Mus musculus: one gene and its partner. The protein of the gene in region 2 interacts with the protein of the main gene of each other region in a biochemical or structural test. Links are inferred from orthologs where the notes say so. Each region holds a gene or a part of one and is shown on either strand. Other genes may lie near its edges.

Region 1 (6,761 bases), on a different chromosome or scaffold from region 2:
TCTTCTGTAGAATTAACTAAGTTCTCAGATAGGCCTAGTGGCGCGAACCTGTAATTCCAGCCTTTGAAGATGAGGCAGGAGGGTTCAGAGTTCAAGGCCAGCGTGGCTCAAATAACATCACAATAATTCAGGTCTTCAGAGGGAGACATTCCCTCTATACTCTCCCCTCATCTTGATATTTGAGAGTAGTGAGGCTCTGGGGGTGTGCTCCTAGCCCCTGGGCATGAAGTGTGGCTGTCTAGGGCCCTGTCACTAGCCCACCGACCCATCTTCTCATTGGGCCTAATGAGTCATGTGTGGGAGTGGTGCCTGCCTCCAGATAATGCTGAGTTTGATGCCAGGAAAAGCTGCAGGCTCGGGGTGTGCCAGAGGCAGTTGAGTTCTGAAGCCTTGGCCCGACCCAAGACACAGCTCAAGCCCTAGCCTGCCCCTGTTAGTGGGAGCCCTGCTGAGTCCCTGAGAACTGAGGGGGTGGGAGGAGAAGCCAGCCAGGGGCTCTCCAGCTTCCACCATGACCCCTTTGAGTACCAGGACATGGGGAGAATGGTTTTGTGTCCCCAGCCTGAACTCACTCTCCATACACTTGCTGGGAAAGTCAAAAGGCATGCAGCACAGGCAGGGGAGAAAGAATGGGGCTAAGGCCCCATGACCCAGAGGGAGCAAAGATCCAGCTAACTTCAGAGCAAGGGAGAAAGGCTGAGGTTCCAAAAGCCACGTAGAAACCGTAGAAACCGCCAACCAAAGGCCCAGAGCAAAAGAAACCGCGGGAGGGTGAGATAACAGAGGATCAGGAAAACAGGAAGCCAGAAAAGGAAGCCTAGAAGGGAAAAAGAGGAGAGACAAGGCAAGGAGAGGGTGTCAGATAAGACTAGAGCGGAGGAGGAGAGATAAGACAACCAGAAAAGTAAACACCGCCTGGCGACCCTGGTCTCTTACATGTTGATTGATTCAAGGCATAGCTGTGCAGTGGGTGCTTGGGAAGTTGGGAAAAGTAGCCCAACTGACCCACATGAAGTGGTACATGCCTTTCTCAGTTCCTGTAGAGATTGATTTGAAAACAAAGATTCAAATATTCAAGACCAAACTAGGCTAGAGGGAGTGCAAGGAAAATCAGTTGAGATCCTATTTCAGACTAAAAAGAAGGGTGGATATAGCTAAATAGAAGAGCCTGTACTGGGTGCTGGAGAGATGGCTCAGCAGTTAAGAGCACTGACTACTCTTCTATAAGTCCTGAGTTCAATTCCCAGCAACCACATGGTGGCTCACAACCATCTGTAATGGGACCTGACGCCTGAAGACAGCTGCAGTGTACCTTATACATAAGATAAACAAATCTTAAATAAATAAATAAATAAAATGAGCCCATGCCTAGAATCCAGGGGTAGGGGGCGGTGAAGAGCCCCAGAGGCTGTGGGTGTGGCTCAGTGGTAGAGCTACTGACTAGAATTCCCGTAGTGAGGGGCTGGAGGGGCGTGACTCAGTGGTAGATATGATTCCCCAGTGAGGGGCTGCGGGTGGCTCAGTGGTAGAGCCCCTGCCTAGAATCCCCCAGTGAGGGGCTGTGGGCGTGGCTCAGTGGTAGATCACTTGTTCTTTTATGTTGCTAGGTCCTAGGCTTCATTTCTATTGCTGCAAAACCACCTCCCTCTACAGATAGTGACAGGGCCATGGAATGTGTGCTAGGTAAGGCAAAAAACAATAAACTGAGGCTGAAGCTGATTGGAATCACTCACAGAGACTCAGAATGTGCTCGGAGAATCTTTATTAAGCAAGGGCCACCAGAGGGCCAGAGAGGTGCTTGAGACAGGGCCACCTGGCTGGATATGGATGTTGTTGCAGGACAGGAGAAGGATACTCATTGATTCTCCTGGGCCACTGGGGTGATGATGGGGTTGGTAGCCACAGAGGCCTGTATCTTCTCCATCAGGTTTGCCCACTGGCGATGCATGTCTTCCACTATTGGCTCGAACCAGCCCTTGAGGCGGGCCTGGAAGATCTCCGCCTGCAGGCGTATTTGCTGGGTCTGTTCCTCCATCTTGGAGCGCACCTCCTCCATGTGCTCACGCACCTCCTCTAGGCGGTCACGGGCCTGGTTGCCCACTTCCTCCAGCCGCCCTCGGATGCGGTCACCAAAAGCCTGGGCGCGATCGCGCAGAGGCTGGGCGGCCCCAGCGCCTAGGTTGGCAGTGCGCTGGCGACCTTGCTCCACCAGAGGCCCCAGGCGCTCACGGATGGCACTCACACCGCGCTCGGCGCCCTCGCGTGCCCCTGCCTTGTACACAGCTAGGCGCTTCTGCAGATCCTCGGCATCCCGCATCAAGCGCTTGCGCATCTTGCGCAGGTGTGTGGAGAGCCGCGCCCGTATCTCCTCTGTGCTCTGGCCCAGCATGGTGTGCACCTCGTTGCGGTACTGCCCGAGTCGGTTGCGTAGATCCTCCATGTCGGCTCCGAGTCGGGCCTGTGCCGCCTGCACCTCTTTGCCCAGCCTGGCCCGTGTCTCCTCCGCCACTGGACCCAGCTGTTCCTCCAGCTCCTTTTTGTAAGCCTTTACTTCCGTCATAGTGTCCTCCATCAGTGCCCTGCAGGCCCAGAGGAAACACAGGAAGGAGATGAAGGCAGGACAGAAGGGCCAGAAACCACAGAGCAAGAGGTGATGGTACTCGCTTGTGTTCCCAGAAGTTGAGAAGCTGCGGCATAAGAATTGCAGAGCCTTCGAAGCCAGCTTGAGTTACAGAATGGGATCCTGTCTCAAGAAGCCAAAAGCCAATCGACCAAGCAAGTAATAAATGTCTGTTCCTCCCAGCATCCAGAAGGCTAAAGAAGGCAGGAGGATTCAAGGCCAACCTGGGCTACACACTAATTGAGAAAGGAAACAAGAAGGGGCTGGGGACCCAGATAGGAGGCAACCCTGGATCAGCTGGTGCCTGCCGAGGGTGAAAGAGCTGGACACTCACGTCAGTTCTTGTGTGACTTGGGAGCTCTGCAGCTCTTCCTGGACCTGGTCAGACAGCGTCTGCACCCAGCGCAGGTAATCCCAGAAGCGGTTCAGGGCCTGCTCCCAGGGTTGGTTGCTTTGCCACTCGAGCTGATCTGTCACCTCCGGCTCTCCCTCGGCTAGGCATCCTGTGTAGAGTAAGTTTAAGGCTGGGTCAGGACCTACAGTCTTTTTGGGTCTCTTTGAAGTGGGTCTGGAGGCTGTGGAGTCTGTTTAGATACTACAAGCATGCACTGTCTTGTATCCTATGTAGTTCAGAGCCGAGACTAGGCAGGTGTGGAATTAGAAAATGTATACCCCACTTTTAAGAGCAACTAAGAAATCAACTTTTTATTGTGTGTGTGTGTGTGTGTGTGTGTGTGTGTGTGTGTACCCTTGGAGGTCAGAGTTCTAGAGGGAATTGGCTCTCTCCTTCCACTATGTTGGTCTCAGAGTTAAGTCTTCAAGCTTTATGATAAGCACCTTTACCCACTAAGCCATCAATCCTCTTATAGTTAGGGGAAATCAAGGCCTAAAGAGTATATAAAACAGCTGCTCAGGGCTATTGAATCTCAGAGAGGTCTCAGAACCGCCTCAGCCTCAACCCACCAGCAGAAGAGATCTAGGGCTAGAATAGAGTCCACAGAGGAGCAGAAAAAGCGGCACCACAGCAAGTCCTTGCTCCATACCTGTCAGCAATGTGACCAACAGCACGGCCCACAGAGCCTTCATCTTCGCAATTGTGATTGGCCAGTCTGCGGAGGGAAAAATTGTCTTTGAACACCAGGGGGCGGGGGTGGAGGGACTCCGGCCACCCAGAGAACCCCATCTTCCCTTCTCAGATCTGTGAGCCATCACAAACATCTCCAAAACAGAGCACCCGCTCTTCCCAAAGGTCTGTTTACCTCCCCTTGCCGAGTTCGCTATCTCGGCACCCCGGGGTGGATCCGCTGCCAAAAATTCCAGCTCCCTCTCCTAGGGTTCAAATTCCACTTCACAGAGGGCCAGCGGGTGGTCCAGCTTACATTCCTCTTTCTTCCCGGCTAAGTCCTGCTTTCCATTTTGTGTTAATTTAACACGATTTTTAATCGTCCTCCATCCCTGCGAAGTGGTACCCTCCCACAACTACAGAACTTAGGGAGCTCAGCCATGAGGAGCCACAGTTTGAAACCAGTCCGGGTTACTTGGGGACTGTGATGGAAATCAGTAGGTATTTATATAAAAGCAGCCTAAGGCTCATCCCGAGTTTTTTCGCCATAGGATGGTTCCTAGTTGAGCCGGTACGCCGTGCACCGACAGTCCCGTACTCCTTCCTGGAGGTAACCCCTCCACCTGCTCTGACTCTGGCAAAGGCTAGTTACCTCGAGTCCTTAGTTTGTCCCCCAAGACTTCTATCGTGCTGCCTGCTTTTCCAATTCTTGTGCCTGTTTCCTGGACTCCGGGGGATCTCAAGGTTCCCAGCCCACATCCTACCAAGGTCCCTGGGTGAATCCCCAGCCCAGCTTGTCTTACCAGCTCCTTCCGAAACAAGTCCTTAGCCTCCAGGGTCTGAGCAGGGGATCGGATCCCAGACCGGTCCAATTATAGGACTCCCCCTGTCCCGCCCCCTCCTCAGGGCTAGGGCGGGCTGTGCCAGCCCCCTGTCACGAGGCGGGTTGTTCTCTCCCCCTTCACAGCAGGGCAGAGGAAAGAGGTGGAGTTTGGATGCCTTGTGACCCCCCGCTCCCCTCCCCCGCCAACAAAGGGAGCGGACACCTCATTGAATAATCCAGGCCTTGGTACTGGGGCACTGAGAACCGCTCCTTCCCTTTCCCCGCGGGGTCTGGTGCATTGTAAAGAAAAGAGCTGGCAGCCTAAATGGAAATGGGTGGGTGGGGGCTAAGAGGCTCAGCTTCTGGGGTGAAGATCGTTGTTCTGGGATCCCTCGTTGTTGATTCCTCCACCACAGGTGAACTCTTTCCATTCCAAGGCTGGGACGTGCTCCAGTTCCTTCAGGAGCTGTTCAGTGGTGGCTCCCGATGGGTTTGAAGCCATACATTAAGCCAAGCCCTGGGAAACCAAGCGTTGATGCTCCTGATCTGTTTCTGGCGATTGCCAGATGTGTCACCTTGGGAGGGAAGAGCTACCCCTACAGAGCACATTTTAAAAAGTTGTTTTGAGATAAGATTCTCAGGCTGCCCTCTAACCCACAAAGGTCCTTCTGCCTCTGCTGTAGCATGCTGGGACTGCAGGTGTGCACCCCTGCATGTGCATTTTCCACTCTCAAGCCACTTCTCTTTTCTTTTTCCTCATAAAAGCAGAAGAGCAGGAGCTGGAGAGATGACTCAGAGGTTAGGAGCACTGACTGCATTTCACAGGACCTAGGTTCAAAATCGCAGCACCCACACAGCAGCTCACAACTGTAACACCAAGATCTGCTACCCTCACGAAGGCATACATGCAGGCAAAACACTAATGCACATAAAAAAAAAAAAAAAAAAAAAAAAAGACAAGCCATAAGTCATTCACTGGAACATGGGTCTATAGTGCTAGCCATATGCAAAGCTGAGGCAGGAAGATCCCGAGCTCAGGTAATAGAATGAAGTCCTGGCTAAAAAGTGGAAAAGCCAGCTGGGCGTGGTGGCACATGCCTTTAATCCCATAATCCCAGCACTTGGAGGCAGAGGCAGGTGAATTTCTGAGTTGGAGGCCAGCCTGGTCTACAAAGTGAGTTCCAGGACCGACAGGACTACACAGAGAAACCCTGTCTTGAAAAACAAAAAAAAACCCAACAACAACAAAACCCCCAAAAAGTGGGAAAGCCATTGTACCTGGGAAGTCAGGTAGGACAAGGGGCTCAGAGACCACAGCAAGCTTGCTAGAAGCACTGCCTGCACAAGGTTCCCTGTTCCCAGCTGTTGATGGCAGGAGAGAAGCCACATAGCAGTGTTTGGCACCAGACACGGCAAAACATGATTCTGCAGGATGGGCAGAGGCGGAACACCTGGCTCCAAGGGTACGTACAGGGTGCCTGGCCAGGCCCAGGCCTGTTAGCTTTGGCTTCAGAAAACACTGGCAAGGACTGGGTGTGGTGAGATGATTTTCATGGGTTGCTAAGGGCCAGCTCCCATCTCCAGCCCAGGCAGTAGAGAGGGTCTTAGTGCTGCGGTCTAGGACACTGACCAGTTCATCGTGAGTCTTTGCTTCCCTTGGGATGCCATGAGGTGCAGCAGTGAGATGCAGAGCCCAATCTGAGGCCCTTATCGCACACCCCAGAGCAGGCCTCACGGAAAAGCACTATAGGGAACCCAGCAGCACCTGCCTGACACGTGAGGCCCAGAGCTACATCTTCAACAAAATTTAAAAAACAAAACAACTTGACATTTCCTGTTTCAGCCTGGGAAGGTGCTAGGGCCCGTTCCTCCCAGAGTAACTTTCCTTATTGTGCTGAACTTCCAGGAACTCCGTTTCTTCCTGAAGTTTCTGAGACCTCTGACCTTCCCACTGGGAGAAAGTCAGCACAAGCTACCACCTCAGCCCGTTTTGGGACAGGGAGGCTCCTGAGCCCCGTCTCCCTGCCCCCACCCTGTTTACAGAGACAAAGTCCTCTGCCAGCTCTCGGGGCCAGACTGCACAGAGGCGAGTGACCTGGAGCCACCCTCCTGGTGAGGCCAGGCCTCTGATGTTCCGGCAGTGTAAGTCCCCAAGAGCAGAGGGTGTGACCATGCCTGGCCAAGCTTTCTCTAAACTGCTTGGTGCTGCTGTGCTTTCTGAACCCTCGGCGCCGCCTGCTGGCAACCATGTCAAC
Region 2 (8,237 bases):
CGGGAACTGGTCAGTGGGATCACAGAAGAGGAGGAGGAAGGGGCAGGGAGCCATCTAGAGGCCAACATGGAGGGTGGTGGGAACAGGTCAGTGGGGTCACAGGAAGGAGAAAGGGCTCCACCTAGAGGCTGACCTGGGCTGGTGCAGTGTGGGTTCTTGGGAGCCTCATCGCTGTGGTCGTGACAGTCATTCTCCCCATCACATTCCCACTGACGGGAGCTCAGACAACGCCCATTGGCACAGCGGAATTCATTGGGGCCGCAGGTTGGGTACTCTGTGGTGGGGGAGGGGATGATGAGGCTGGACCTCCAGCACGGCTAGGCAGGGCTACTCCTCCAGTCACGGGACTCACCACACTCAGGGGATTCATCAGAGCCATCAGCACAGTCACGGTCATGGTCGCACACGAAATGCTTGGGAATACACAAGCGGTTCTGGCACATGAACTCACGGTCATCACAGGTGCTGTTGTACACTGGGGATGGAGGCAGAGTCCCTCCTCAGGCCTGCCCTACTCCTGCCCTGCCCTACTTACTAGCTGTTGATAGTCACTCCCCCACCCCCAATCCTAAGTTTCCTGCAACATGAGTGGTAGCAATGGGCAGAATGGGAGGGGTCTGGATCTGTGATCTCCTTAAACGCACGGCTCCCACTGAAGTTCTTCCTACCCTTGACCTCATTTGCCAGTGTTTGCAAAGCAAGGCTGCGAGGCTTGATGCCCACCCATTCCTCACGGCCTCTCCCACTCACGGCAGCCAGCAGTGACACTCTCATCCGCGCCATCGGTACAGTCCTTGTCGCCATCACAGAGCCAGCGCTCAGGGACACACACGTGGGTGCCGGGACAGGAGAAGGAGGAGGGGCCACATGTCTTGCCTTCTGCATGAGGGGCAAGGAGACACAGAGAGACTCAGGAGGGGACAGGGCAGAGCAGGCAGCCGTGATAACATGGCCCACTGGTATATGGACCCTTCTTTAGGGGGTAGGACACTGACCGCCCTGAACCGGATTCAGGCCACTGCTTACCACAGTGAGCTGCCTCATCGGAGCCATCCCCGCAATCATCGCTACCGTCACACAGCCACTGCTTGGAGATACACCGGTGGTTCTGGCACTCGAACTGTGCCTCTGAGCAGAACTTGTCTGGAATAGAGGAGAAAGTAATAAGAAGACAAGGAAAGGCAGGGCAGGTGAGCGACTCATCACAAACTGAAGAAGTGACTCTATTCTGGAGTCTGAGAGGATGAGACACAGTGGAACCCAGGTGTCTCCCCGTGTAGGGCGCTTTCCATAAGGACTGTGAGGTGGGAGCTGGGTAGGGTCCCAGGGCACTCACTGCAGTGGGTCTCGTCCTCGCCGTTCTCACAGTCATCCTCCTTGTCACACGTCCAGCTCATGGGGATACAGCGCCCGCTGGGGCAGGCAAAGTAATTGAGCGGGCACCTAGGGCGCTTCACACCTGGGGGTAGAAGGGAGATGTGAAGACTCTGCCAGCCATGAAGACACTGCCAGCCCCGGGTCTCCCGTTCACCCGGCGAGCTTCCGCTGGCCAACCTGGACAGTCACGTTCATCGCTGTAGTCTCCACAGTCGTTGGCGCCATCACACACCCAGCTAGGTGCGTAGCACAGGGATGTCCGCTCGCACGGCTGGAAGAGGACACCTTTCACGCCCAGGCGGAAATAGCTGCTGCAGTCTGTGGTACCTGGTGGAGGGAGGGTGGGTCAGTGGGGTCACGAGAGAAGAGGAAGGGCAGGGCGCCACCTAGGGGCCAATGTGGAAGATGGAATAGAAGGGGTGGTGAGGGTGGGTGAGGGGTCACACCTAGCTCCTTCTAAGACACACTATGGGAGCAATTGCTGGCCCCATGTTAGACTTATGGTTTCAGATTTGGTGCCTGCTGCCCACTGACTCACTACCTCTATGGAGGGAGAAAAAGCAAGGTCAGAGAGGATAGAGGCTACTATTTGGGGCCAGGGGGGCTGAGAGGAAATAAGGCAGAACAGCCTGAGGCAGGAGGGACAGGAAAGTAGGCAGGAGCAGGCTGTCAGTCATGGGCCAGCTGTCAGTCATGGGCAGGCTGTCAGTCATGTGCCAACTGTCAATCATGGGCAGGCTGTCAGTCATGGGCCAACTGTCAGTCATGAGCAGACTGTCAGTCATGAGTAGGCCATCAGTCATGGGCCAGCTGTCAGTCATGAGCAGGCTGTTACTCACTGCAATTCATCTCATCCGAGGCATCCTCACAATCCACAAACTGGTTGCAGCGACTGGAGTTCCCGATGCAGGACCCATCCCGGCAGCGGAACTCACCCACACCACAGGCAGTCTCTAGAACAGGGCCCACCAGTACCATCAGGCCAGTGTCCCTCTGCAGGGCCAGAAAGGCCCAGGACAGAGTTCTCGCCTGTCCTCAGAGTGCCTGGGGACAAATGCTCAGCCGGAGTGAGGACGGGGTACAGTCTGAGACTAAAAACCAGGGGTGAGGGCAGGGGTGAAGCAGGGGTAAGGCAGGAGGCTAGGATGAAGCTGGGATGAGGCAGGGGTGAGGCAGGAGGCAGTGATGAGGCAGATGGCTGTGGTGAGGCAGGAGGCTAGGGTGAGGCAGATGGCTGTGGTGAGGTAGGGGTAAGGCAGGGGTGTGGCAGGGTACTGGGGGTGAGGCTGGGATGTACTCACTGTTGCAAGGAATCTCATCAGAGCCATCCCCACAGTCATCCACCCCATTGCACCACAGCATGTTGGATACACAGCGACCATTGTTACACTGGCGGAAAGTCTTCTTGCAGCGGCGTGAGTCTGTGAGGGGAGGGTGTGCGTGGTCACAGCAGGCATAGGAAGGGGCTTCTTTCCCCCCTCCCCACCAATGACCGTCCCTTCCTAAGGTCCAAGCTCTGCTCTTCATGAGCTGAGGCTATGGAGCTGGGTCACATGGCACAGGGGACTGGGGGAGGGGCTGGAGCAGGGCCCTTACTGCAGTAGGAGGGCTTCTCATCGGACTTGTCCTTGCAGTGGGAGACGCCATCACAGGTGAGGCTGAAGCTGATACATTCCCCATTGGCACACTCAAACTCATCTTGTGCCCGACAAGAGGAGTTCACAGCTGCGGAGGGAGAAGGTGTCATGAGTTGCGACCTAGCCTGAGTCCAGCCTTGTAGCCTGGGCTGGAGTCTGGAATAAGGGTCTCTTGTGCTGACACCCCACAGCAGCCCCTGTCCCAGCTCCAACTTGCTTCCTCACCCCGGCAGGTGAAGTCCTCCTGGAGGATCCGGCCCCCTCGACAGGAACAGTTGACGTGGCCTTGGTGGGTGAGCAGACACAGATCCTGGCAGCCTCCATTGTTGATACGGCAGGGGGAGAGTTCACCTGAGCAGGGGTGGGAGTGGGGGGACCGAAAGCTGAAGAGGGTTCCCTGGCCCTGTACACTCCCAAATTGCCCACCTAACATTCCAGAGCTCTGCACGACCCCAGCAGCCATGGGGGTTCACAACAGCGGGGAGAACCTCGCATGGGGTGGCATGTGGACACTGCACACACACACACACACACACACACACACACAAGAGAGGGCCAGGTGTAGGTATGTATGTCTATGTGCAGGCTGGGGGAGGGGATGATAGGCTACACCTGGTATGTGGGTATAAGGTAAGGTTTAGGGTGTAGGTGGCTCTGGGTAGATGGAATTATTAGGCTGAGTGATAGGATCTCCTGGGATGGGGACGAGCCTAGGGTCATGAACAGTACGAATGCATGTGCATGTGTGCATGTGTGTGTGCGTGTGCGTGAGCGCATGCAGTTTTGCATGAGATGGACCTGAGTATATCAAGTCCATGTATGTACACAGGTGTCTTGAGGGAGTTGGGTTTGAGAAATGTTGGGGCCTTAGGAGTTTCTGGGTGCCAAAGGTATGTAAAGGTATTTGTCTGTACAGAAGAAATCCTGGGAGAGACAAGACTATCATATATGTATTATGCAGTCACAGAGATCAGGAGAGACAAGACTGTCATGTGCACATGTGTGCAGTCACAGGGAACAGGAGAGACAAGACTGTCGTGTGCACATGTGTGCAGGCAGAGATCAGGAGAGCACTGCGGGTGGTAGCCCCACTCACAGCTGTTGGTGTCGTTGGCCACGGCGATGATGCCCATGGGTTGCTGGGGAATGTCCACCCGAAGCAGCTTCATGTCGCTGCCCACATACTTGTTGGCTCGCTGCACAGCCCGCCGCACCCAGTCAGTCCAGAAAATGTGCTCTCCGTACACCGCCAACCCAAAGGGGTGGACGGGCTCCGACTTTAGGATCACCTGATGAGACAGAAGCACCAGCGTCTCTGCATTCGAGCCCCTCATCGGTCTTAACAGCACAGTGAGGGGAGGCAAGAGGGCCGTGGGAAGTCACAGACCGTCTGGGAAGGATCTGGCTTCGTCTTCTCTCTTTTCTAAGTGTTGTCAGAACCACGCAGGGCAAAGGCTACCCACAGTTAAGGACTCGAATGGGACCTCTCACCGTGTCCTGGGTCTCCCTGTCTGGTGCTCTGCCCTGACTTGGTTCCCTCCACATCCCCACCCACCCACCCACCCACCCACCCCTACACTCACATAGCGGTGGGAGCCGTCGTACTCGCAGCGCTCGATCTTGTCCAAGGTGGCATCCGAGAAGTACAGCTTCTCCGCCCGGTGGTCGATGGCCAACCCATTGGGCGTGCGGATGTCCTTCTCAATGAGGGTCAGGACGTTGGCTCCGGATAGGGCTGCCCGCATGATGCTTGGATGGAGCTCGTTCCAATTGGTCCAGAACATCAGGCTGATGGGAAACGGGCAAAGGGATCAGGAACCTAAGGAGTCAACTAGAACCCAGGATGAGCCTCACAACCCGAGAGCCACGAAAGCCAACATAGCCTCGGTGCCTGAGACTAGCCCAGCCAAGGCACTGAGTTACTGCACTATGTGGCTAGATCTGACTGTGTGTGCCCACAGTCACGTACTGCAGTATGGGAAGGGACCATCTGCATTTGCTGAGACTGGAGGCTGTGTGGCCAAGCGAGTCAGCTCCCAGCCCCAAGTCCTGGCTCCACCACTTTCCAGCCAGGTAGGCTGGGGGGGGGGGGGGGGGGGAGTAGTAGGTTGCCTACTTTAGGCAACTTGCCCGACCACTCTGACTGACCTATTTTTCTATTATTTAGTGGGGGATAATATTGCTGCAGAGGTTGTAAAAACTAAGTACTGTGTATTCATCTCAATGAGAGTTTTCCATGTATTTACTGCTAACTGCTTTCTCTGTATCAAAGCTGGCTCTTTAACAAACTACCCAGGAAACTCTTGCTAAGTATTGACTATTTCCTTGGGCACATATGGATTGTACCCTCAAAAATAGTTTTCTGGGGCTGAAGAGATGACTCAGAGGTTAAGAGCATTGGCTGCTCTTCCAAGGGCCCTGAGTTCAATTCCCAGCAACCACATGGTGTCTCATAGCCATCTACAATGAGATCTGGTGCCCTCTTCTGGCCTGCATGCATACATGCAGGCAGAACACTGTATACATAATAAATCAATCTTAAAAAAAAAAAACAAAAAAAGTTTTCTTCACAACATAAGGACATGTGAACTTAAGGCCAAGCCATGCCCCACTGTTTGTGGAGTGGTGCTAAGGGCCTGGGTGTGGGGTGGGGAGGATCAAGCACAGCACAGCGGCAGCAGGGTCGCCCTTGGACAGCTTGATTCATTCACTTGACCTGGGGTGGTGAACCCTTTGCACATGTTCCTTTGAGATGCAGCAAAGAAAACAGAAACAGTTTCAGAATAGACCTGGCCACCGTGCCTCAGCCCCTCCCTTCTCTGACCTCACTGATGAACTTGTAACTTGTCTGTTTGAACTTGAACTTGTAACTTGTCTGTTTACCCCCTTCGTTCTCTTCTCTCTCTAGGATCACCAGCCTGGGCTTGAGGTTCTTTACCTCCTGATCCTCCTGCCTCCACTTTCCAAGTGCTAGGATTACGGGAACATGCTGCCATACGTGTGCCAGGCTAACCGTCTGCCAGATGAGCTACATTCCAGCTCAACCACAGCGTAACGCTTGCCTCCCTCTTTGAGGCCCTGGAGACCCATTCCTCAGGGACAGGATCGGCCTGTTGTTGTTTATGAGACCGAGTTTCCTGTAGCTCTGACTGTCTTGGCACTGTCTCAGTAGACCAGGCTACCCCTGAACTCAAGAGATCTGCCTGCTCTGCTTCCCCAATGCATCACACCACACACAGGACTCTTTATGGATGGAGGTGGCGACCCATTCAGCCTGTCCTGGGGCAGCAGCTGTAGCATGCTTTCTCTCTCTCTCTCTCCCTTCTTCAGATAGGGCCTGTTGTATCCCAGGCTACCCTTCAACTAGTTACATAGCTTAATGACCTCAACTCCCACCGTTCCTACATCCACCTCCCCAGTGCTGAGATTATAGTCATGGACCACCTTGCCTGGCCCGAGTGCTGTTTCCTGGCTTGTGCAGCCTGGCTTTACAGTGATTTCCACACTCTCAAGTCCAGCCTAGACCACACTCACAGCGGAGCACCAAATTGACTTACATGGGATGTACCCTGAGTTAAGAGTTTGGCAAAGCTGCTTTGTGGGATGGTGGGGTGGGGGAGGGGAGGCTTCCTTGGGGCAGAGGGTCAGCAACTAGAAATACAGTGGACGTTCTACCTGTCCAACTATCTGATTTCCAAGGACACTAATGCTTCAGTGAGGATCAGGAGGAGTATGGCTGGCTGGCTGAACCACTATCCTGACATACTGGCTCCTTCCAGCTCTCTCCCCTAACCTAAGACAATCTCAGCCCTCTAGTCACCCCTGAGCTGCCTCCCTGATGACATTCTCCCAGACTTCCACAGGGCAGGTCTTTGGCAGTCATGAAATCCTCCACCCTCTGCCAACCAGTCCATTCTCTGTGTACTTGGGTTTTTTTGAAGCCACTGGCTCTGGGGCTCTAGAGAGAGAGAGAGAAAGAGAGAGCACTTTCCTGGGCTCAGCCAGGAGGGACTTGGTTGAAACCGAGGATGCCTCTTTTAGAATGGCAGAAAAATATCATGACAGCCCCTCCCCAGAGGCTCTAGGCCCAGGAAGGACAGGCCCCAGGACCAGCCCAGACAGGTGAGGTCACCAAGGCTGTGGCATTGCTTTAGTTTCCTAGTGAGGCTGATAGAAAGCATTCTGATTCCAGCTGAACTGGGGAGGGCAGGTCGCTCAGACGTGAGCCAGGACTGCTATGCAGAGGGTGTGACTCACTAGTAACCTGCACATCAAAATGAAGAAAGACAGGGTAGGCAGGACAGGTAGACCAGACTCCCTGCCTGCTCAGGCTAGCCTTGCCCAAATGGTGGGCAGTCCCGTTGCTGTCCTGTTTGACCTTTTCTTGCTTTTCTCACTTTGGGGCCTTGTGCTCACAACTGCCTTCACAATGCCTCTTGGTCACTGTAATAAGACCTCTGCTCAGCAAGGGGTTTGAACAGGCCCAGCCCATATCCTCAAGGTCAGTGAGCCTTCGCTGAAGCTTTGAGTCCCACGGTACTGTGTGATGAATGCCAGTCACAAAGCCAGAGGCATCTCCCACGGCCCTCAACCTCCCTTCATTTCTGACACTTGTATTAAGCAGCGCCCTGAGAGGTGATGCATCTCACTGAGGCCAGAAATGGTGGGCCCTGCCTGTCCCCTTTCTGTTCCCGTATGACATAGCTCCCACCCCCCAGGCCCAGCAGCTCACTTCTGGCACTCATCCAGCACAAAGGCTCTCGGGTGGTCGTCTCCGGACATGGTGATGACTGTCTCCCTCTCGAAGGCCCCTGGGCGAGTCTGGTCCACGGTGTGGCGGGTGATGGTGGATGTGGTGTAGCTTGTCCAGTACAGTGTGTCCCAGCCACGGTGATAGGCCAGGCCTTCCACAGAGCCCACATCTGTGAAGAGACAGGAACAGCTGTGGGTTGAGAAGGGCCAACCAGCAGAAGCAGAGGGGCAGCCTGGTAGGTGCTAAGGGCATGACTGGCTCCCCTGGAATTGTGGGAACCGGGAGTTCCTCCGAGGGCTCTTTGGTCAGACTTGCCAGGGCCCCAGGGCCCCTCACAGAGCCACGTCACACCACCTGCGTCATGATCCGTGGCACCTTCCTTCCTCTTCTCTTGCCCACCCCCCACTCCCGGCCTATGTGTGGTCACACTCTTCAGAAGTGGAGTTCTGTTTATTCATGTATGGGGGAGA

What was found.
Region 1: the proteins of Lrp1 (region 2) and Apoe form a complex in vitro, tested with the Homo sapiens proteins (2 studies listed by IntAct, with this or other methods). The link is inferred for Mus musculus from reciprocal best matches to the Homo sapiens genes LRP1 and APOE.

Annotation. Positions count from the first base shown.
Region 1 is NC_000073.6:19,694,525-19,701,285, forward strand, and holds Apoe (apolipoprotein E precursor), read right to left. Parts: upstream 4,665-6,761; 5' UTR 4,487-4,664; intron 4,098-4,486; exon of another isoform or gene 4,000-4,097; intron 3,950-3,999; exon of another isoform or gene 3,880-3,949; intron 3,875-3,879; exon of another isoform or gene 3,730-3,874; 5' UTR 3,707-3,729; coding exon 3,664-3,706; intron 3,124-3,663; coding exon 2,955-3,123; intron 2,580-2,954; coding exon 1,856-2,579; 3' UTR 1,720-1,855; downstream 1-1,719. UniProt on the Homo sapiens protein: APOE is an apolipoprotein, a protein associating with lipid particles, that mainly functions in lipoprotein-mediated lipid transport between organs via the plasma and interstitial fluids.
Region 2 is NC_000076.6:127,555,858-127,564,094, forward strand, and holds part of Lrp1 (prolow-density lipoprotein receptor-related protein 1 precursor), read right to left. Parts: intron 7,937-8,237; coding exon 7,747-7,936; intron 4,803-7,746; coding exon 4,598-4,802; intron 4,304-4,597; coding exon 4,111-4,303; intron 3,366-4,110; coding exon 3,240-3,365; intron 3,103-3,239; coding exon 2,974-3,102; intron 2,799-2,973; coding exon 2,679-2,798; intron 2,331-2,678; coding exon 2,217-2,330; intron 1,705-2,216; coding exon 1,555-1,704; intron 1,460-1,554; coding exon 1,337-1,459; intron 1,144-1,336; coding exon 1,027-1,143; intron 880-1,026; coding exon 751-879; intron 476-750; coding exon 353-475; intron 275-352; coding exon 134-274; intron 1-133. UniProt on the Homo sapiens protein: Endocytic receptor involved in endocytosis and in phagocytosis of apoptotic cells. Required for early embryonic development. Involved in cellular lipid homeostasis.